3 linked regions of the Oryctolagus cuniculus genome follow. The protein of the gene in region 2 interacts with the protein of the main gene of each other region in a pairwise test. Links are inferred from orthologs where the notes say so. Each region holds a gene or a part of one and is shown on either strand. Other genes may lie near its edges. The genes, in order: MAD2L1BP, INPP5K and ARL6IP1.

What was found.
Region 1: the proteins of INPP5K (region 2) and MAD2L1BP interact in binary tests that used the Homo sapiens proteins (3 or more experiments, as listed by UniProt). The link is inferred for Oryctolagus cuniculus from reciprocal best matches to the Homo sapiens genes INPP5K and MAD2L1BP.
Region 3: the proteins of INPP5K (region 2) and ARL6IP1 interact in binary tests that used the Homo sapiens proteins (3 or more experiments, as listed by UniProt). The link is inferred for Oryctolagus cuniculus from reciprocal best matches to the Homo sapiens genes INPP5K and ARL6IP1.

Annotation. Positions count from the first base shown.
Region 1 is NC_091436.1:126,439,711-126,446,568, forward strand, and holds the start of MAD2L1BP (MAD2L1-binding protein), read right to left. Parts: upstream 2,977-6,858; 5' UTR 2,881-2,976; coding exon 2,835-2,880; intron 2,477-2,834; coding exon 2,211-2,476; intron 815-2,210; coding exon 302-814; 3' UTR 1-301. UniProt on the Homo sapiens protein: May function to silence the spindle checkpoint and allow mitosis to proceed through anaphase by binding MAD2L1 after it has become dissociated from the MAD2L1-CDC20 complex.
Region 2 is NC_091448.1:47,057,080-47,063,846, reverse strand, and holds the start of INPP5K (inositol polyphosphate 5-phosphatase K), read left to right. Parts: upstream 1-3,041; 5' UTR 3,042-3,231; coding exon 3,232-3,365; intron 3,366-4,109; exon of another isoform or gene 4,110-4,575; intron 4,576-5,015; coding exon 5,016-5,123; intron 5,124-5,485; coding exon 5,486-5,594; intron 5,595-6,767. UniProt on the Homo sapiens protein: Inositol 5-phosphatase which acts on inositol 1,4,5-trisphosphate, inositol 1,3,4,5-tetrakisphosphate, phosphatidylinositol 4,5-bisphosphate and phosphatidylinositol 3,4,5-trisphosphate.
Region 3 is NC_091450.1:20,960,588-20,967,402, forward strand, and holds the start of ARL6IP1 (ADP-ribosylation factor-like protein 6-interacting protein 1), read right to left. Parts: upstream 4,346-6,815; 5' UTR 4,192-4,345; coding exon 4,156-4,191; intron 2,227-4,155; coding exon 2,093-2,226; intron 1,623-2,092; coding exon 1,503-1,622; intron 1-1,502. UniProt on the Homo sapiens protein: Positively regulates SLC1A1/EAAC1-mediated glutamate transport by increasing its affinity for glutamate in a PKC activity-dependent manner.

The sequences.
Region 1 (6,858 bases), on a different chromosome or scaffold from region 2:
CCATAGGAGTGTCCCTCTCTGGACCCGGCTTTGCTCTGCAAGCCCAAACAGAAACACCTGACCCAGCACCCTCTGGGAAAAGCAACCTTTGATTCAACAAGCTGTAGCTCAGGGATGATTACCATGGTCCTAGCCACACACCGTCAGCCCCCCGGAAGTGTGAGGAGGGGAGGCAGCCAGGACAGTGCCTTCCCCTCTCACCGGGAAGCAACGCCAGCTCCAAGCGAGAGTCGGGTGGCTCGGTGCCGAAGGGAGCCGGGCCATTCGGCCATCCGTTTCCAGGATGAGGAAGCGTCCTCCGTCACTCGTGGAAGCCTTTCAGCGTCACTGGGGCCTGGAACCAGATGTAATCGTCCGAAGCCACTGTTGGGTCGGAAGGCCTGCCGCAGGACAGGCTCACGGTCAGTTTGTGGCCGCGGCTGGGCACGCGGTAGTTGAGCTTGGGTCGAAACCAATCTTCTCCACAGTCACGGTGCCCCTGAGCCATGACGATGGTGCCCATGAGCGGTGGGGCCTGCAGCTCGCTAAAGGCGTCAGCCAGGAAAATGGCCCGGAAGAGCCGGCGCAAACAGGCTGCTGTATTCAGGCTCTGGTCCACACTGTAGGGAGCCAGCCGGGACAGGTCAAGTTCGTAGAACTCCTTGGGGCTTAGGGCACTGCCCCCAAGGAGGATCAGCACTCGTGGTACCAGGGTTCGGGCAAAGAGGCCCTCCAGGTGACTGAAGACACTCTCCAGTTCCGCCAGGGCTTGTTGGCATTTCCTGCTGCTGGCCTCGGCAGCCGTCCGCGGCTTCTTCCTCACCACGTCTTCTGCCTGTGACAACAAAGCTTGGTGAGACAGAGAGACAAGGTAGGGGAAGCTAATGCCTTTTAAAGAACCCTGTGAGGGGCGATGGCGCTGTGGTGCAGTGGGTTAATGCCCTGGCTTGAAGCACCGGCATCCTAAATGGGTGCCGGTTCTAGTCCCAGCTGCTCCTCTTCTGATCCAGCTCTCTGCTGTGGCCTGGGAAAGCAGTGGAGGATAGCCCAAGTGCTTGGGCCCCTACACCCAAGTGGGAGACCTGGAAGAAGCTCCTGGCTCCTGGATTTGGATCAGCTCAGCTCCAGCTGTTGCGGCCCACTGGGGAGTGAACCATCAGATGGAAAACCCCTCTCTCTCTCTGCCTCTCCTTTTCTCTCTGTGTAATGCTGACTTTCAAATAAATAAATAAATCTTAAAAAAAAAAAAAAGTGGGGGGCGGGGGCGGCGGCACTGTGGCATACTAGGTTAAGCATCTGCCTCCGGAGCTGGCATCTCATATGGGTACCAGTTCTGGTCCCAGGAGCTCCACTTCTGATTTGGCTCCCTGCTGATGGCCTGGGAAAGCAATAGAAAATGGCTCAAGAGCTTGGGCCCCCAGCACCCACATGGGAGCCCCAGAAGAAGCTCCTGGCTCCTGGCTCCGATCAGCCTAGCTCCAGCTCTTGCAGCCATTTGGGAAGTGAAACAGATGAAAGACCTTTCTCTCTCTCTCCCTCTCTCTCTTAACTCTGTTTCTCAAGTAAATAAATAAATCTTAAAAAGACTGAACGTCTAGCTCAATGAATGTCATCGCCACATCACTGGGCTTTATCAACATCACAGCAAAAAGTGAAATCTACTCTTTGTGCCATAGTTCTCCCACCCTTCCAACAGCCAAGAGAGCGGCCAGATATAAGAAGCTAAGATAGCCAAGGAAATTTGGTGGCATGCCACAAAGCAGTCAATTTTTGCTGGGGTATATATGTATGTATGTATGTGTATATATATATATGTATATATATATGTATATATATATGAGAGCAAAATAAACTCATTTTGGGGGGAAAAAGAGCAAAGAGCATATGCGAAAGTTAAGAACTCTTAACAATGATTGCCAAAAAAAAAGAATAAGTTGTATTGGTGTTGGAATATAAAGTCAAAGAACTCCCCCATCAAGGAAAAACCAAACATGAAAATTTGGAGAAAAGAAACTAAAATGTAAAGGCTCAACTCTTCGAGTCCAAAAGCAACACTTAATAGGGGTTTCGGGAGAAGACAGCAAGAGGGAAAAAACCAGAGAGGGTCACCCCGCTGAAGACGCGAGCGCGGAGCCAGCGCCGCCGACTGTCCCTGCAGATGGCTCGGATCCCCGTTCCACCTGCTCGCCAGGCAAGAGCCGCGACGTCTCCCCCCCGTAGCCCGTGCCTACCTGGGGAGAAGGTTTTCGGTAGAAGTGCTTCAGCTGTTCGTAGGGCAGAGGCAGCTGCTGGCGCTGGTACATGATGTGCTTGAGCAGTTCACAAGTAAAGCGGCAGCAGCCTTCCCGGCTCACCGGCCCGGGAAACACCACCGGCACCATGCAGTCTCTCGGGCAGCAGTGCTCCGCAGAGCCGGGAGCCTCGGGGGCAGAGGCAGTCTCCGGCAGTTCCACCGGGGAGCCGTGAATTTCTTCCGACTGGTCAAACCACTCCAGATCTAGGACACAAGAGAGGGAAATGAGACACAAGCCAGGGTCGGGCTTCGCATTCCCTGCGGCCACCACGCACACCCCGACGCCGCAGATACCCTAGTGCGTACGTGCGGGATTCCTGACCCCCGCGGCCGTACATGACTAAGTGGCCGATACGAGAGAGATTCCCGGTCAGTGACTGAGGCTCTACTCAGAAATCGGGCTCCTGACCCAGGGAAAAGAGGGCGAGGCGCAGTCTCATCGGAGAGCGGACGAACCCGGAGCTCGGAACCAGAAGGACCAGAGGCGCGGTGATAGGACAGGACGGCAGTAGGGAAGAAACAGGGCCCCGAGGAGCCGCAAGCCCGGGCCCCCATGCCTTACCAGTGCCTGCGGCCGGCGACGGGATTTCCGGCTCCGGGGCCGCCATCGCGACCTCCTCCCTCAGCTCCGTGCGTTAGAATGATCGGCCCGCGGAGCGTCATGGGAAGCCCTCTCCACTTCCGGCTCGGCCGGAAGGGGGCGCGGCGCCACCGCCCTGGGGCGGGGTCGGGGGTGGAGCCCGCGCTGGCACCCTTAGCCCTCCGGCTACCGCGAGCCCAGGCGCTCGCGGCCACCCGCCCTCTAGCAGCCATTCATTCTTGGGTTCATTACTTTCTTCACGCCGGGCCCTGTCCTCGGTGCTGGAGGCTCCGCCGGGGACAAGCCCGGCGCGGGCCCTGCCGTCGAGGGGGGCACTGCCTATGCGTACAGTGCAATGGGATGCGTTGATACAGTGGGGTATACAAGGGCTGGGGGAGGGAAGAACTGGGGCGCCTAACCCAGAGCGGGTTGGGGCAGGGGTACGTGGTTCCAGAAGAAATGTGTGAAGATGTTGTGACCTTGTCAGTTAGCAAGGTAAAGAGGAGACCCCAAGAGACAAGAACATCATCCCCTGTTCAAGGAATGAAGAATTCCTAAAGCGCTGGGGCGTGGAGGAGACAGGATCATGACAGGATCTTCTAAGCTTTGATAGGCTTTGAACTCGATCCCCCGTAGGGAGGTAGGGAAGCTGTTTATAAGTAGGGGAAGTGACATGATTATGTTCACATCTTTCCCGTTTAATCTCCCTGCTGGCTGCACTGTAGAAGTTGGATTACAGGGAGGATAAAAGACAGGGACAGGGGTTCTAGTTCGAGGTAGTGCTGAGACAGAACGGAACCAGGGTAGTGGCAGGGGAGGGAGAGAACTGGGTGAGTCCTGGAGATACAAAGGGGCCCAATGAGCATAAATTAGTAGTTGATCCGAGGAAACAGACTGTCCAGGCTGGCGTTATAGTGCGGTGGGTTAAGCCACTGTCTGCAGTGCCGTATCATATATGGGCACCGGTTCAAATCCTGGATGCTCCGCTTCTGATCCAGCTCCCTGCTAATGTGCATGGCCCAAGATGGCCCAAGTGCTTGGGCCCCTGCACCCACGTGGGAGACCTGGAAGAGGCTCCTGGCTTCGGCCTGGCCTAGTCCAGGCTGTTGCAGCAGTTTGGGGAATGAACCAGTACTTGGAAGATCTCTTCTGCCTCTCCCTCTCTGTCTGTAACTCTGATAAACCAATCAATCAGTCAGTCTATAAAAAAGAAAAACCAGCAGGGTTGTGACTCCAGCAACTGAATTACTAGGCGCTCCATTCGATGAAAGATGGAGCAATAAACGAGGACCAGATCTACTAGGAGGTGAGAAGAAAAGATGAAACCTGCTTTTGATGGGCTGGGTTCAGTGTCACCACAGGACAGTGAATAGAGACATTTAGAAACACCATTTGGGACAGACAGCCATTAGTATGGGAGTGGATAGGATCACTCTGGGAGGCTGCAGAGTAAGTTGGGCAAGGTGGGTTAAGCCAGCAGCCCATAGGGGTATGTTTGAGTCCTGGCTGCTCCACTTCTGATCCAGCTCTCGACTATGGCCTGGGGAAGCGGTAGAAGATGGCCCAAGTCCTTGGGCCCTTGCACCCACATGGGAAACCCTGAAGAAGCTTCTGGCTCCCAGCTCCTGGCTTCGGATTGGTCCACTGCTGCCATTTGGAGAGTTAACCAGTGGATGGAAGGATTCTCTCTCTGCCGGCCCCTCCCCCACTTTTTAAAAAATATATTTATTTATTTGAAAGATAGAATTGGGCTGGCACCGTGGCTCACTAGGCACACTGGGTTCTAGTCCCAGTCGGGGCGCCGGATTCTGTCCCGGTTGCTCCTCTTCCTGTCCAGCTCTCCGCTCTGGCGTGGGAGTGCAGTGGAGGATGGCCCAGGTGCTTGGGCCCTGCACCCGTGTGGGAGACCAGGAGGAAGCACCTGGCTCCTGGCTTCAGATTGGCACAGCACACCAGCCGTAGCAACAATTTGGGGGATGAACCAACGGAAGGAAGACCTTTCTCTCTGTCTCTCTCTCTCTCACTGTCTAACTCTGCTTGTCAAAATAAAATAAAATAAAAAGAAAGGCAGAATTACAAAGAAAGAGGGAGAGACATAGACAGAGTCATTCCATCTGCTGGTTTACTTCCTAAATAGCCATAATGACTCGGGCTGGGCCAGGCTGAAGCCAGGAGCTTGGAATTCCATCCAGATCTCCTGCATGAATTGCAGGGACCCAAGTAATTAGGCCATTTTCTGCTGCTTTTCCAGGTGCATTAGCAGGAAGCCAGATCAGAAATGGAGCAGCCAAAACCTGAACTGGTGCCCATAAGGGATGCTGGCATCATAAGCAGCGGCTTAACCTGTTGCACCACAATGTCAGACCTATTATGTGTATGTTTATTTCTGAGCCAATACCACAGTATTTTAATCATACTTTTCTGGTATGTTTTAACATCTAGTATTCCTGAAACAGATTCTTTTCTTGCCCTCCATAACCTGACACTTGTCTATTTTTCTTTCTACTTGTATAATCTAGGCACTTCTCAGTCTCCTCCACAGGTTCTTTTCACTCTCTGCTTATCCCATTAACAGTGTCATCTGGATCCTAGGCCCTCCCACCTCATTTTTGAAGATGCATTTAAAGATTCTTAAAGTTGTATTCATTTGTCTGAAAGGCAGAGTTATAAGAGCCGGAGCTGTGGCATAGCAGGTTAAGCCTCCGCCTTTGGCATTAGCATCCCTTATGGTGTGCCAGTTAGTGCCTCAGCTGCTCCACTTCCAATCCAGCTCTCTGCTAATGTCCCTGGGAAAGCAGAGGAAGGTGTCCCAAGTGCTTGGGTCTCCACAGCACGTGGGAGACCCAGAAGAAGCTTCTGGGCCGGCACCGCGGCTCACTAGGCTAATCTTCCGCCTAGCGGCGCCGGCACACCGGGTTCTAGTCCCGGTCGGGGCGCCGGATTCTGTCCCAGTTGCCCCTCTTCCAGGCCAGCTCTCTGCTGTGGCCCAGAAGTGCAGTGGAGGATGGCCCAAGTGCTTGGGCCCTGCACCCGCATGGAAGACCAGGAGAAGCACCTGGCTCCTGGCTTCGGATCAGTGTGGTGCGCCGGCCGCAGTGCGCTGGCCACAGCGACCATTGGGGGGGGGGGGGTGAGCCAATGGCAAAAGGAAGACCTTTCTCTCTGTCTCTCTCTCTCACTCTCCACTCTGCCTGTCAAAAAAAAAAAAAAAAAAAAAAAGTTGGGGGAGGAAGGGAAGCATTGTGGTACAAAGGATTAAGCCAGCACCTGTGATCCCAGCATCCCTTATGGACACGGGTTCAAATCCCAGCTGCTCCACTTTTTGTTGTTGTTGTTGTTAAGATTTATTTATTTATTTGAAAGTCAGAGTTACACAGAGAAAGGAGAGGCAGAGAGAGAGAGGTCTTCCACCTGCTGGTTAACTCCCCAAATGGCCACAACAGCTGGAGCTGCACCGATCCAAAGCCAGGAGCCAGGAGCTTCTTCTGGGTCTCCCATGGAGGTGCAGGGGCCCTAAGACTTGGGCCATCTCTACTGCTTTCCTAGGCCATAGCAGAGAGCTGGATCGGAAGTGGAGCAGCCGGGACTCGAACCGGCGCCCATATGGGATGCCGGCACTGCAGGTGGTGGCTTTACCCCCTATGCCACAGTGCTGCCCCTCCCACTTAATTACTTCATTTATTTGAAAGACAGAGTTACAGAGAGACAGAGAGATAGAAAGATCTTCCATCTGCTGATTCACTCCCCAAATGCCACAACGGCCAGAGCTGGGCAGGTGTGAAGCCAGGAGCTGGGAGCTTCTTCCAGGTCTCCCACATGGGTGCAGGGGCCCAAGGACTTGGGCCATTCTCCATTGCTTCCCCAGGCACATTAACAGGGAGCAGGATTGGAAGTGGAGCAACAGGGACTCAAACTGGCATCATGGGTGGTGACTTTACTTGCTAAGCCACAGTGCTGGCCCCACTGTCCCACTTCTGATTCACTTAAACGTATGCACAGACGGAGT
Region 2 (6,767 bases):
CTCTGTGTGCCCCCCCCCACCTTTATTTCCAAGTGACATTTTTAGTCTTTCAAAATAGCTGCCTTTTGTGATGTGGTGACTGAAGTTCATTTGTTTTCGACCTTGGGATAATCTGAGGTATCTTGCTTCCTGGGCAGGTCTTTGCAATTTTGAGTGCTCACCTGGGGAGAGAGGATGAGTTAGAAATACAGTTTTCCCCTAGTTCCACAAAAGAGCAATGTGGCTTCCTAACTCTGACCTCTGCTCCCAGTAACCCACTGTTTATAGAGTGCTCTAAGCACCAAGGAAGTACCCAAGGCCAGCATCTCTGCTGTAGAAAATTTAACAAATACAAAACTCCCAGCCCCAGGCATTGCATCTCTGATTACTACTCTTAGGAACAACTGTGGCTTCTAGGCCCCCCTGTTGCCCACTCTGTAGGACTCTCTCTGTAGAGCCTACAGAGCACCCCGGTCAGCTCTCCACCTGGAGGGAGCTGTCCAGTGCGGCCCCTAGACGTGAGTCTGCCCCATATATATCGATCAGTCTGACCCCGAGGAGCTCTGTATGTCCACGCTCCTCTTCCCTTTCGGGCTGGTGCTGCCACTCAGCAATAATGCTCTTTTCTCTGTGCTTTCTTAGATCCCTGTCCTCTGTCTTTGAGGTTGGTTAGGATGCAAGAGTCCTGATCTTTCCATGCTGCACAAATGAGCATGCAAAAAGCTTTTTTCCAGAACACGTTCTGTCTCGCCTCCAGTTGCTGGAAAGGAATGTGGGAATCGAGAACTCAGCTCGGCCTGCTCCCATGCTGAGTTCTGTCCTGGACAATCAAAAGCAAATAGTGACCATAGTATAGACCTCTGCCGAAGCAGGCTGGTGAAGAGTGCAGGCTCCAGAGGAGTAAAAGCTGCTCCCATCTCCTACGACGTGGCAGGACCTGAGTGTGCCTCGCTGGTGGGGGAGTCTGAGCCAGCTGTGGTCTCCCCTGACATTCCCAGACCTTGTGAAGTATGTCAGCTTGAGTGTGCGCTCCAAGCCCAGCCTGGCCGGGGCCCGGGGCTGAGAGACCAGATCTGCTGGGGAGTGAGACGTGGGATGGCATAATTGATCCTTATGTTTGCCTTACTCATTTCTAAGTGCAATAAGGGAGTGTCTCACAGGACTGCACCTGTGCCATCCTGGTGGCTGCTTCCCTGTGGGTCTCCTGGGCAAAGGTGGACAGACTTGGACCCCTCAGCATGGTTAGCTCTGACCTTCACTGAGGTCCCTCTGGGACCAGGAGATGCCCTGTTACAGTCTCCTCACCTTGTGGGGCACTGCAGCTGCTTATTAGCATCTCAACGCTGGTAGCATTTATCTGACTGGGAAAGTTGGAGAAGAGGCATTCCTACTGGAGAGAAATGTAAATGTTTTCCTACAAGCTCTGTATTAGCTATTAATTATACTTGTGCTTAAAGATGTTCCTTCTTCATTCATCACTAGGTGAAGTCCAGATGTGGGTCATCCTGGAAAACACAAACATATTCTAGGCCTCGGTGGCTTACGTGGCCTGAGGGTCAGCAGGTCTGTCTCCTTCCTTCAACTATTTGAGATCCACACATATCATGTCAGTGCTTGGGGTGGGGCGCTTGTGTCTCTGACCACTCGCACGGCTCCCCGTTGCCCCAGTTTGAAAGCATCCCACTGAGCTGAGCTAGCATTCCTGGGGTCAACTTGGCTATGGGGCCCCTGCCCACAACAGCATCAAGGAAGAAGTCACTGGCCTGCTCTGCCCTCGGGACAGTGTTGCTGCTGGGCAACAGCCTTGGCTACTTTTAAATACCCCGCCCCCAGCCCGGAAACTGACAAGCACTCAAAGGGGCTCAGCTCCAGGAGAGCACCCCAGGGGGTGCCGCACCCCTCCGAGCAGCTGCCTCTGCAGCAGGGGTGCTGGGCTCTGGTCCTCTCACCAAGGTTGGAGATGAGGTCGGTTTTGAGGTCCCCTGGTATTACCTTCCCAAGTTCTCCTTTTACAGTCCCTACTGGGACGCCCTGACATTTTGGTTGGTTCCTAGTGCTCCTTCTTTTACAAACTACACTTTGTAGAACTGATTAGATTACCTTGTTTATTTAATGTGGGTTTGTGCCTTTTTGTCTCAATCTTCCAATACAGGTATATTGGGAAAAAACAGCAGTCTAATAAAATCCTAGACAGAGCTGTCTGGAGTCCAGCTAATTATTGGTGATGTTTTGATGCCCATTTTACAACTTAGATAGTCTCAAACTCTTACTGATGTCCCCCATTTTACCAGGGCAGGGTAAGGAAGAGGTTCAATGATGTCTCTTAAATTGCACGGGTGAATTTCCATAAATTAAGACGACCTTTGTCAACGCACTTGACACAGCTCGGCTGAATGTGATGCAGCCATGTTCTGCCCGTTCCCACGGCGCTTCCCGCTCCCCACACCTCCCCGTTCACTAGCCAGCAGAACAGTTCAGACAGCTCTGAACCTGGCTGCGGGGCCTGCGGACCGATGCAGCCCGTTTCTTAGATTGTGTGCACCTCCATCCCCGCCCCCTTAGACTGAGCCAAGGAGTGAACTCGCAGTGAATCTTGAGCGCTGTCCGTCATCTCTGTGGTGCCTGGTCTTCAGTGCAGACCAAATAGAAGCAGTGACTTATTTTCCCTGAGTCCAGGAACCCGGAGGCGTCCCGTGTGTAACAGGCAAACCAATGAGTTTGAAAAGCGAAGGCCACTTGAAGGTGGAATAGATTAGAACCAGGAATGGCCGTGCGAGCGCGGCGTGGAGCCGGGGGTTACCTGCGGTTGGGGGACCCGGGTCATAGGCGGGACAGTGGCTACGTGGCCGAGCACGTCTCTGCGTGGCGGGAAGCTGGAGGACAGCACAAAACCCAGGCCCGCAGACAGACCCCGAGCGAGGCACCGGCGGCCCCGAGACGCGGGCGCGGCAGCGACTTCCGCCGGAAGACGGCTCTCCCGCCGCCTCGCGCGAGGCGGGCCCGGGTGCCGGCGGCGGGCAGTGTTACGTCGTGCGCTGAGGACGGGCAGGCCACGCCTCGCTGACGCCCGGCTCCCCGGGCCCTTTTCTCTCAGCCTCTGGCGGCGCCGCGCTCGCTGGAGGGTCCCGCCTCCTTCGCCGAGCCGCACCACCCAGAGCCCTGGGTTTGCTCGAGGTCCGCCCCTTACGGGAGCCGAGGCGGACGGCCAGAATCCGGAAGAAAAACAGTCGGCGAGAGTGAGGCGGCCGAGCCATGGAGCTGGACCAGGAGGAGTCCAGCAGCGAGGAGCCGGAGCAGTCAGACGTGAGCCTGCCGGACGACCCCGAGAGCGTGATGGCCTCCGTGAGCGAGCAGAAGCCCAGCGAGCCGAATGTCTGGAAACTCAGGTGAGGAAGACGCCTGCTCGGGCCGGTCGCTGCCTTCAGCCGCACCGGGGCTGCGGACCTGGGGGCTGGGGACTGACCAGACTGGAAGGGAGGGGAACAGGCTTCTGCGGCTGCCCTCACCCAGAGGCCCTCCCACATTCTCCCAGGCCAGGGTCTAGTGGGATTTACTGGACCTGAGCCTCGCGCCCCCTCTGAACTTGGGCCGCCGAGCGCGTCCCCACTGGAACACTCCAAGCAGGGCAGGGGTGGCCCAGTTAGCAGGTGTCTGGAGCAGACAGTTGTGTTGGGCTGTCGCGGTGAAATCTCATTCCTGTTTGTGATCGGCACATGCATCATGAGGTCTGCCTGATCCCGTTATGACCTCCGGAAATCCGAAATCGGATTAAGATAAGAACCTTCGGGGAAGTGGTGTCGCCTGGTCTCATGCCTGCTCTTTCAGGAGGAACGGGGCTAATCACCCACTTGGTGGGAATCACGAGTGTGGATTTGCGCCTAAGCGTCCGACCTGAGTGTGGGGACAAGAAATCCCAACTCTGGTCCCCACGCACTTAGAGCAGGTGCCTGGGAAAACAAGGGGCCTTTGAGTGAAAGGGCTTGCTTTCTTAATCCTCTGTCGGACAGCAGGGGGAGATCGTAAACAGATGAAATACTTTGTCCACCGGGTGCCTGGGAAGGTGGGCTTGGAGTTGTTTGTTTATATTCTTGGGGAGGGGCAGGAAATTGCTTTAAGCCGGCCAAGAATTTCCTTCTGGTGGAGCAGAGGCATATGGGAGCGGCCCCCTTCCCCCCATCTCCTAGGCTGGACCTTCCACAGCAGCGGGTCTTCCTCCTCTCGGTGCACCTGGGACTGGTGCAGCCTGCTGGCTGTTCGTGAACTCTGCGGGATTTGCAGCTCCTGGGGCTGCTTGGGCAGATTTCTGTTAACTGCTCTGTGTGCAAGTCCCTCCTTGCGCCGAGGCTCTGAGAGCCACCGAATTGGCTCTTGCTCCCCTAGAATCTGTGTGGAGCAGAGGTGGAGAATGGCACCCGAAGATGACTTTCCCAGGGACAGGGAGATTGGAGAGAGATGTTGAGAGACACTTAGAAGTTCTCCTTGGGCTCCCTAAGTGCTTCCCAGAATTGGTTGTGCTGCGGGAATCTGCTGGGAGCAAGTGGAGGAAGGGAGCGTGGCGTCTCTCCGGCGGTGCTGTAGTGCTGAGGCCTTCGCAAGGTGCAGTCTGAGCTCTCCTCCTCCCGTCTTTCCGTCCCAGTCTTCCTGGTGGTTTCCAAACTCCCGGGGTTGAGACGTGGGGGCCGGAAGTCGCTGTCAGCCATAGATGCTGGCTGAGGTGAGGTGTGGATGGCTGGTGCAGCTGGTGCATTTCGGGAAACCCTGGCTGCCCAGCCCACAAGCTCTGGGCTCCGTTTGGCAGCTCTGCTAATGTGAACAGCAAGTGTGGGCAGCTGTGGGTCTGTATGGAGCAGCCAGTCTGGGGCACAGATGTCCTGCTCCGGGGGACACAGGTGAAGACCCAGGGCTTGTAGTCCAGTACCTCTGCTTCCTCCATCAGATGCAGAAACGCGTGTTTTCCATGTGACTGCAGCGGTGTGGGGGGCCACCGTGTCTGTTGTCCTCCTTCCTCCATGACGCTTTCTGCGCCCCTTCCACAGTATGCATGTCGTGACCTGGAATGTAGCCTCCGCAGCACCCCCTAAAGACCTCAGTGACCTGCTTCAGCTGAACAACCAGGACCTGGACCTGGACATGTATGTTATTGGGTAGGTGTCCGCAGGGCCCCTTCTGCCAGCCCTGTGTCTGAGATCAGCCTGACCGGTCTCAAGCTGTGCCCACGGAGAACAGCAGTAACCTGTGGAGGCGGAAGGCAGGGAGCTGTCAGCCCGAGTGGGGTCGGTGCTGTGGAGGCTGCAGACAAGGAGCTGTCAGCCCAAGTGGGGTTGGTGCTGTGTCTGCTGTCCGAGGGCAGCAGTGGCAGGGAACTGGAGGCCGGTAGCCAGGCAGCCAGGGAGGGAGGAAGCGTGGTCACCGACGGAGGCTTCAGGTCCTCTGAGGGCAGTGCTGAATGTCTGTGGCAGAGGCTCTGCCCTCGGCCGGGGACAAGCCTCTGACCTGGGGTGGTCAGTTTGCAGGAAATGAACTCTGGGATTGTAAGCTTCATTTCCGATACTGCCTTTGAAGACCCGTGGAGCAGTTTCTTCATGGATGTGCTTGCCCCTCTGAGCTTCGTCAAGGTAACGTGCAAGTTCACGGAGGACAGAGAAGTGAGAGATGTGTCTCGCCTCCACCGAGCCCCAGGCGCTATATTCCTCTTAGTCCCCATCAGCCTTTTGTGATGTGTCCCATCTGTTAAAAGTTCATTTATTTTTTATGCAGGTGTTTCCAACTGACTTTTTTTTTGTTAAAGATTTACTTATTTATTTGAAAGGCAGAGTTAGAGAGAGAGAAAGAGGCAGAGAGCTATCTTCCATCTGCTGGTTCACTCCACAAATGCCCACAATGGCTAGAGTTGGGCCAGGCCAAAGCCAGGAGCCAGGAACTTCTTCTGGGTCTCCCACATGGGTGCAGGGACCCAAGCACTTCGGCAATATTCCACTGCTCTCCCAGGCGCATTAGCAGGGAGCTGGATCAGAAGTGGAGCAGCTGGGACTCAAACCCATACCCATATGGAATGCTGGCGCCACAGGCAGAGGCTTTGCCTGCTATGCCACAGTGCTGGCCCCAAAACTTTATTTATATATATATAAATATATATATACATAAATATATAATATATAAATATATATTTATATATTTATATATATATTTTATAGAAAGTTTTTATTTAATAAATATAAATTTCATAAGTACAATTTTTGGATTATAGCAGTTCTTCCCCCCATATCCGCCCTCCCACTACCCAAACCATCCCACCTCCTACTCCCTCTCCCATCCCATTCTTCATTAAGATTCATTTTTAATTATCTTTTTTTTAATATTTATTTTATTTATTTGAAAGACAGAGTTACAGAGAGAGGCAGAGACAGACAGAGAGGTCTTCCATCCACTAGTTCACTCCCCAGATGACCTCAATGGCCAGAGCTGCGCCGATCCAAAGCCAGGAGCCGGGAGCTTCTTCCAGGTCTCCCACTTTGATGCAGGGGCCCAAGGACTTGGGCCATCTTCTACTGCTTTCCCAGGCTATAACAGATTGCTAGATCAGAAGAGGAGTAGCCGGGACTAGAACCGGCACCCATATGGGATGCCGGCGCTTCAGGCCAGGGCATTAACCTGCTGCCCCAGAGCACCGGCTTAATTATCTTTATATACAGAAGATCAGCTCTATACTAAGTAAAGATTTCAACAGTTTGTACCCACACAGACACACAAAGTATAAAGTACTGTTTGAAGACTAGTTTTACTGTTAA
Region 3 (6,815 bases), on a different chromosome or scaffold from region 2:
TATTCAGCGTGTTTTTTTTTTTTTTTTTAAAGATTTATTCATTTATTTGGAAGTCAGAGTTATGCAGAGAGAGAGGTCCTCTATCCTATGGTCCACTCCCCAGATGGCCACAACAGCCGGAGCTGCTCCAATCTGAAGCCAGGAGCCAGGAGCTTCCTCCAGGTCTCCCTGTGGGTGCAGGGGCCCAAGCACTTGGGCCATCCTCCACTGCTTTTCCAGGCCACAGCAGAGAGCTGGATGGAAAGTGGAGCAGCCGGGTCTTGAACCGGCGCCCATATGGGATGCTGGCGCTTCAGGCCAGGGCATTAACCCACTGCACCACAGCACCAGCCGCATCCTCAGCCTTCTACAACAACTTTTCTCACTTTTTAGGATTTATTTTTTTGTCTACTTCTTAGTGTTCTAAATTCTTCCCCATAACCTCTCATTTCAGTAAAAATGGCCAAGCAGCAGAAGTGTGCATCAAGTCAACACTTGACCTGCCAGCTTCATACAACTTTCATAAAAAGCAATCAAATCAGCAAGTCTCTTGATTTTGGCCTAACATACAGTATTGAAAAACTCTCAATAAGTGATTATTTCTAATATTATCAAGTTAGTCTAAGCAAATATAGAAAGCAAGCTTAAAGATAACTGTGGGGGAGGGCCATGCTGTGGCGTAACGGGCTAAGCCTCCACCTGCGGCACTGGCATCCCACATGACCAACAAGTTGAGTCCAGGCTGCGCCACTTTCCCTGCTGATGGCCTCAGAAAGCAGAAGACGATCCAAGTGTTCGGGCCCCTGCATCCACATGGGAAACCCAGAAGAAGCTCCTGGCTCCAGGCTTTGGATGAGCCCAGCTCTGGCCATTGTGGCCATTTGGGGAGTGAATCAACGGATGGAAGACTTTTCTCTCTGTGTCTTCCTCTCTCTGTAACTATACCTCTCAAATAAATAAATAAAAACTTAAAAAAAATAAAGATAACTGTGGGGAGGGCCCATAACCAACAGCAAATACACTAGTTTAAGTTCTTTCTTAAATGCTTTGGGCATTTTTTAACATAGTATATATTGGTTTCTCATAATGACAAAGGCAATTTAGTGGAGGAAGCTTCTTTTTGATATTTGAAACTTAAAGGTCCAAACATTTCACAGCACCGAGACAAGTGTCTCACCCAGCAGACTGCTCCTGGTCACTACATGACTGTGGACTACAGTCGACCAGTTACCTTTTCCTATTTATTCAAGAATAGTTTGTGAAATAGCTGATCACCTCAAATATCAACAGAAATGGAAATGTGCACCTGTTAGGGAAAGCTCACTGAGATGTTTGTTAGTCCTCACTGAAACTGTACCTTCAGAAAGCCCGTGGCAGTAAATGTAAGTTTAAACCACACGGGTGAAGGTGAAAACGCCTGAATGATTCGACAAGGCTCTGCACTTAATCACAGCACAGTAGCCACGGCCACCAGGTTCAGGAAGGCCTCTGAAATTAAACCGGCAAATCACTGTGTCACTTACCATTTATTGGAGCCAAAAATCCTGGGTGCTAGAATGGGAACAAGGTAGTCAGCCAAGCACAAAAACATAACAAAGCAGGAAACACCGGACAGAACAGATGGGTCCAGATAGTAGATAATCCTGTTAAAAAAAATTAAAGAAGCTTAGAAAACAGCCAGTATTATGCCTGGCTGCAGATGCTTAATTTCACAATTCACTCAGTGCCGTGGTTCTCAGAGACGTTATTTGGCACTAATTTCCTCACCAGTGGTTTCCAGAGGCTTCATAGCATGATGACGTCACAGCCGCAGTGGCTGATATAAATACCAACCTACAAAGGCTTTCGGAAACCCCCAGTACTTTTTAAGATTGTAATGGTAAGATGGTAATGGTTTTGAGCCAAAAGGCTTGAGAGTCACCGAGTTATTCAACTGCGTCAAGTTACCAAGCTTACATAAGTACTACCAACTGTGGAAACCCAGCACGGCTTGTAAGAAAAGGCATTCTTGATGGATTACAGGCTACAAAAGGCTTCATTAAGGTGCTGCCCTGAACAGAGCCTTCAGCGCTACCAAGCGCACGCAGCCCATGGAGTCCCCCGGCTCACTTACAGAAACACCAGGGAGACCACAGCCAGGAGGGCAGGCGGGAACCAGGCTCTCTCCCACCGCAGCACTTTGTCGGCCAGAAGCATCACCTCTCCCCAGCCCTGCAGCTGCTCCTCCAGACTCGCCGTCTCTGCAGCCTACACGGGGCAGAAGGGAAAGCGGCCATTTCATCACTCAGCATCTCCGTGGTTCTAACAGTTACATCTTCCCAAGGCCAATCAATAGGTGAAACACCTCCTCATTCCAATCTTCAACAGTTTCCTTTCTGAGGAACTCTGCAATTTTGTACCAAAGATGGGAATCAACCAGGGGGCTAGGGGAAGCCTCTCCTTGTTTTTTTTTTTTTTTTTAAGATTTTATTTGAAAGAGTTACAGAGAGAGGTAGAGACAGAGAGAAAGAGAGAGGTCTTCCATCCCCTGGGTCACCCTCCAGATGGCTGCAACTGCTGGAGTTGCACTGATCCAAAGCCTAGGAGCTCCCTCCCCATCTCCTACGCGGGTGCAGGGCCCCAAGGACTCGGGCCATCTTCTCCTGGGCAGAGCCCACCCTGTAGTGAATCCAAGCACGGGGCGACTCCTCACATACATGATGGAGCTCAACCCTTACAGAGCTGGCAATGTAGGGATGCGACTCATTTCACAGTGAAAGCAAGTGGGCTCCAAACCTTCCCAGGCGTGGACAGGCAATCAGTGGCAGCACCCAGAGTGCTAATCAGATTAGACCACTCCAGGTTTGTTCATTTCAGGTGGTGGGAACTGGCCCGCAGCTCACTCACTTCATCCATCTCAATCCTACTCTCAATCCATTAGGAAAGCCTTCCCCTGAGCCGCACTCACCTTCTAAAACGGCTCTGTGTAACGGGAGCACTGAGATAGTGGGCTCCATTGCAAAATTAAGGAAAACAGCTTTCCAAATTACAAGTGCCATTCTACAGCGCTTCCTGTCGCTCGGGGTAGACTTCCAGTGTTCCTGCAGCCCTGACATCCCAAAGTGGGCCTTGAAGACGAGCTCAGGCCACAAACTCCCTGAAGCTCATCTTGGTAAAGGAGAAAACACTGGAACAGGAAACCCCAACGTCCCTGTGAGTACTTCCCCTTAGAACTAGGTGTCCTGGCTTTATCGCTCACGCTTACGACTAGTTAAATCAGAGATCACATGTGCCAAGAACCTTAAACTTCGCCTGATCCTCTCAATCGCCCTAGAAAGAAGGGGTTGTTGCCATCCCCGTTTCGCTGATAAGGAAACTGAGACGCAAAGGAGTTGACAGCGTCGGCCCCGGGAAGTCAAAGGCCTTGCTGTCCCTGCAGTCGGGCTGCTCTGCTGGGGACCCCAGGCTCCAGGTGAGACTCGGCTATTGCAACAGGACTTGGACAGCCTCGCTGTGCTTGCACCGATTCTCTTAGAAAGCAGCAGCGCAAAGCAAAAAACCACGCCCAATGCAAGCCGCCCTTCTGAGTTCGCCAACATCTGGGACCTTGGAACGCTCTCTCGGGTCCTGCCTGGACCGGTGCAGTTAAATCCGAATCCAATACGTCCACCCAAGGCAGGGCCTCGCTGCAGCTCCCCCGGATCCTCTCCAGCCGTCCTGTGAGCTCCCAGCCCCCGGCCTTCCCAACTCCAGGCCCAGGCCCGGTTCCCCATGGGGAGCTCGCAGCCTCCCTGTCCTTGTAAGCTGCGCCAGCTCCAACAGAAATCCTCGGCCGTGGCCCTGGGACCCTCCATCCCCGCTCAAGTCTTAGACGGAGGAGGACGAGCGCTCGCCCAGGGTGAGATCCAAGGCGGACAGGACCGCGGCGAGGCCCGAAAGCCACCGCGCGGCCCCTCGCAGCCCCCGTCCCGCACTCCTCAACCCCCACTCGCAGTGACTAATCACGCGCCCTCCTCGCCCCGCCGCGCACCGCCCACCGGGAGCCGCCCACGAACCCCGAAGGGACGGGGGTCTCCCGGGCTGGGCCGAGGAGGGACGGGCCCGTGGCGGGGACAGGAGCGAGGCCGCGACGACCGTCCCCGCCGAGCCCACCGGCCGGCCCAGCTCGGTTCCTGCGGGCAGGCCTCCGGGACTCACCAGCAGATTGGTGCTGCGATTATCTCCCTCCGCCATCGTCCGTCAAGAGTCGTCTCAGCGAACCCGAGCCGCCTCTCCAACCTCAACCTCCGCTGGAAACCCGCACAGTGAACACAGCGCGAGGGAACGCCCCGCAGGTCGCTTATATAGGCCGGCCGCCTTTCCCGACAGCACCCGCGACGCTCGCTCCTCATTGGGTGAATCGAGCGCAGGTTTCAGGAAAGCCCCACCAACCACAGCTCAGCGCATGACTTGAAATCGAGGTCAAAGGAGAGAGGGGCCGCGCCGGGCAGAGGGGGCGGGGAAACGGAATAACCAATGGGCGCCCAGGGATTGTGCGGCGCCCCGCCCAGGGCTCGCGGAAGCGGTTCAACTGTCGCTGCCGGCGGCGGAGGTTTGGTTGGCCGAGAGTGGACGCCACCGTAGCCGCGGGACCCTCCCGGCGTTGGCTCCGCTCAGCGCCTAAGGAACCCCTCTGGAAAACTGAGTAGTCGTAGAGGTGTGCGGTGTCAGGCGGAGGGCAGAGATGGGCACGCGGCGCGGGACAGTGGCTGGGGCGGGCCGACCGCGAGTCCGTCTCCCAGCGCCGCGGTCCCTCGCCGTCCCCGGCCTGTGAGCGGCTTAACCCAGATTTGTGACTCGTGCCCACCTCGTGAGGTTCTGAGAACCAGTGAATGGAGCTGTTGATGTGGCTTCTGCCGCAGCGTATTCAGGAATGAGGTCTTTGGGTGGGGGTGGGTGTCAAAGTGAGAGAGAAATCCTTCATGGGGCATTTTTTTTTTTTTTAATTTATTTATTCGAGAGGCAGGCAGAGTGAGAGAGGCCTTCCATTCTCCGGTTCACTCCCCAAGTGGCCCCAACGGGTAGGGGGGCTCAGAGCCAGGAGCTTCCTCCGGGGCTCCCATGCAGGTGCAGGGGCCCAAGGACTCGGGCCATCTTCCATTGCTTTCCCAGGCCACAGCAGAGAGCTGGAACTGGTGACCCAATGGGATGCTGGCACTGCAGGCGGCGGCTTTACCCGCTAAGCCACAGCGCCGGGCCCCTTGGTTTAAACTACAAACTCCCCCTGTACCAAGTGATTAATAGCGCCTTCCTTCCATTAGAGAGAGCTGGATGAACTCTGTTGAGATCCTTCTCCATCTTTTCCATCTTGGACTTCAAAATGCGTTAGCAAGCTCTTGTCTGAATCACGCCAAATGTTGGCCTAGACAGAGGTTCGTCTCAGGGAAAGTACTGTACGCTTTATCCTTATAAACCCATGTGTATTAATGCCACCGACTTTATCCTGAAAGCACTCTTCAAATAACAACCAGGTTCTGAAAAGTTCAGGGAAGTCAAAGAAAAGCCCTGAGCAAACTGGACCAACCAGGAGCCTTGTGAACTTAGCGGAAGTGTCAAATCTGACCGCGATCTTTGGGGGCGGGGCGATCACCTGGCCTCCCCAACGTTAGAGGTCTCTGCTATGGGGGACGCTGCAGGAAAGTTCAGGTTGTATAGGTAACGTACAGTCAATAAAGACCTCGTTTGTTTTACATTGAGAGCTGCAGCTCCCATCCACTGGTTCCTTTGCCAAATGGGGCTGGGAAAACCTGACAGGAGTGGAGAACTCAATCCAGGTCTCTCATGTGGGTGTCAGGGACCAACTACTTGAGCCATCATCTAATGCCTCCCAGGATCAATTCAGCAAGAAGCTGAATCGGGGGCTGGCGCTATGACGTAGCAGCTAAAGCTGCCATCTGCGGTGCCGGTTCAAGTCCTGGCTGCTCCATTTCTGCTCAGCTCTCCGCTGTGGCCTGGGAAAGCAGTGAAAGATGGCCCAAGTGCTTGGGCCCCTGCATCCACGCGGGAGTCCCTGAAGAAGCTCCTGGCTTTGGATTAGCCCAGCTCCAGCCATTTGGAGAGTGAACCAGTGGGTGGGAGATCTTTCTGCCTAGCTCTGCCTTTCAAATAAGTAAAATCTTTTAAAACAAAAATGGAATCAGGAGCTCGAACCAGGAGTGGAACCCATGCACTCTAACGTGGGACACAGGCTTAATGCTCACGCTTTGGCAGACTTTAAAGCTCTGGAGTTTGAGGAGCAGGCTCTCCTCTGTCTTTAGAAGAAAAAGGACAAAAAGACCGAAGAATGAGCAGCCACACTGGTGAAGGTGTTGAGCAGAGTGTACAATCTTGCTAGCGGCATACTAACACCCAACTTTAAAGAATGGCCAAAGAGGGCCAGTGCCGCAGTTCACTAGGCTAATTCTCCGCCTAGCGGCGCTGGCACACCGGGTTCTAGTCCCGGTTGCCCCTCTTCCAGGCCAGCTCTCTGCTGTGGCCAGGGAGTGCAGTGGAGGATGGCCCAGGTGCTTGGGCCCTGCACCCCATGGGAGACCAGGAAAAGCACCTGGCTCCTGGCTCCTGCCATCGGATCAGCACGGTGCGCCGGCCGCGGCGGCCATTGGAGGGTGAACCAACGGCAAAAGGAAGACCTCTCTCTCTCTCTCTCACTGTCCACTCTGCCTGTCCCAAAAAAAAAAAAAAAAAAAAAAAAAAAAAAGAATGGCCAAAGAGTTACTAGGCATTTTTTTTTTCCTTAAGATGTATTTATTTTGGAAGAGAGGACGGAGGGAAGGGAACAGAAATATCTCCCATCGACTGGGTCACTCCCCAGATGGCAG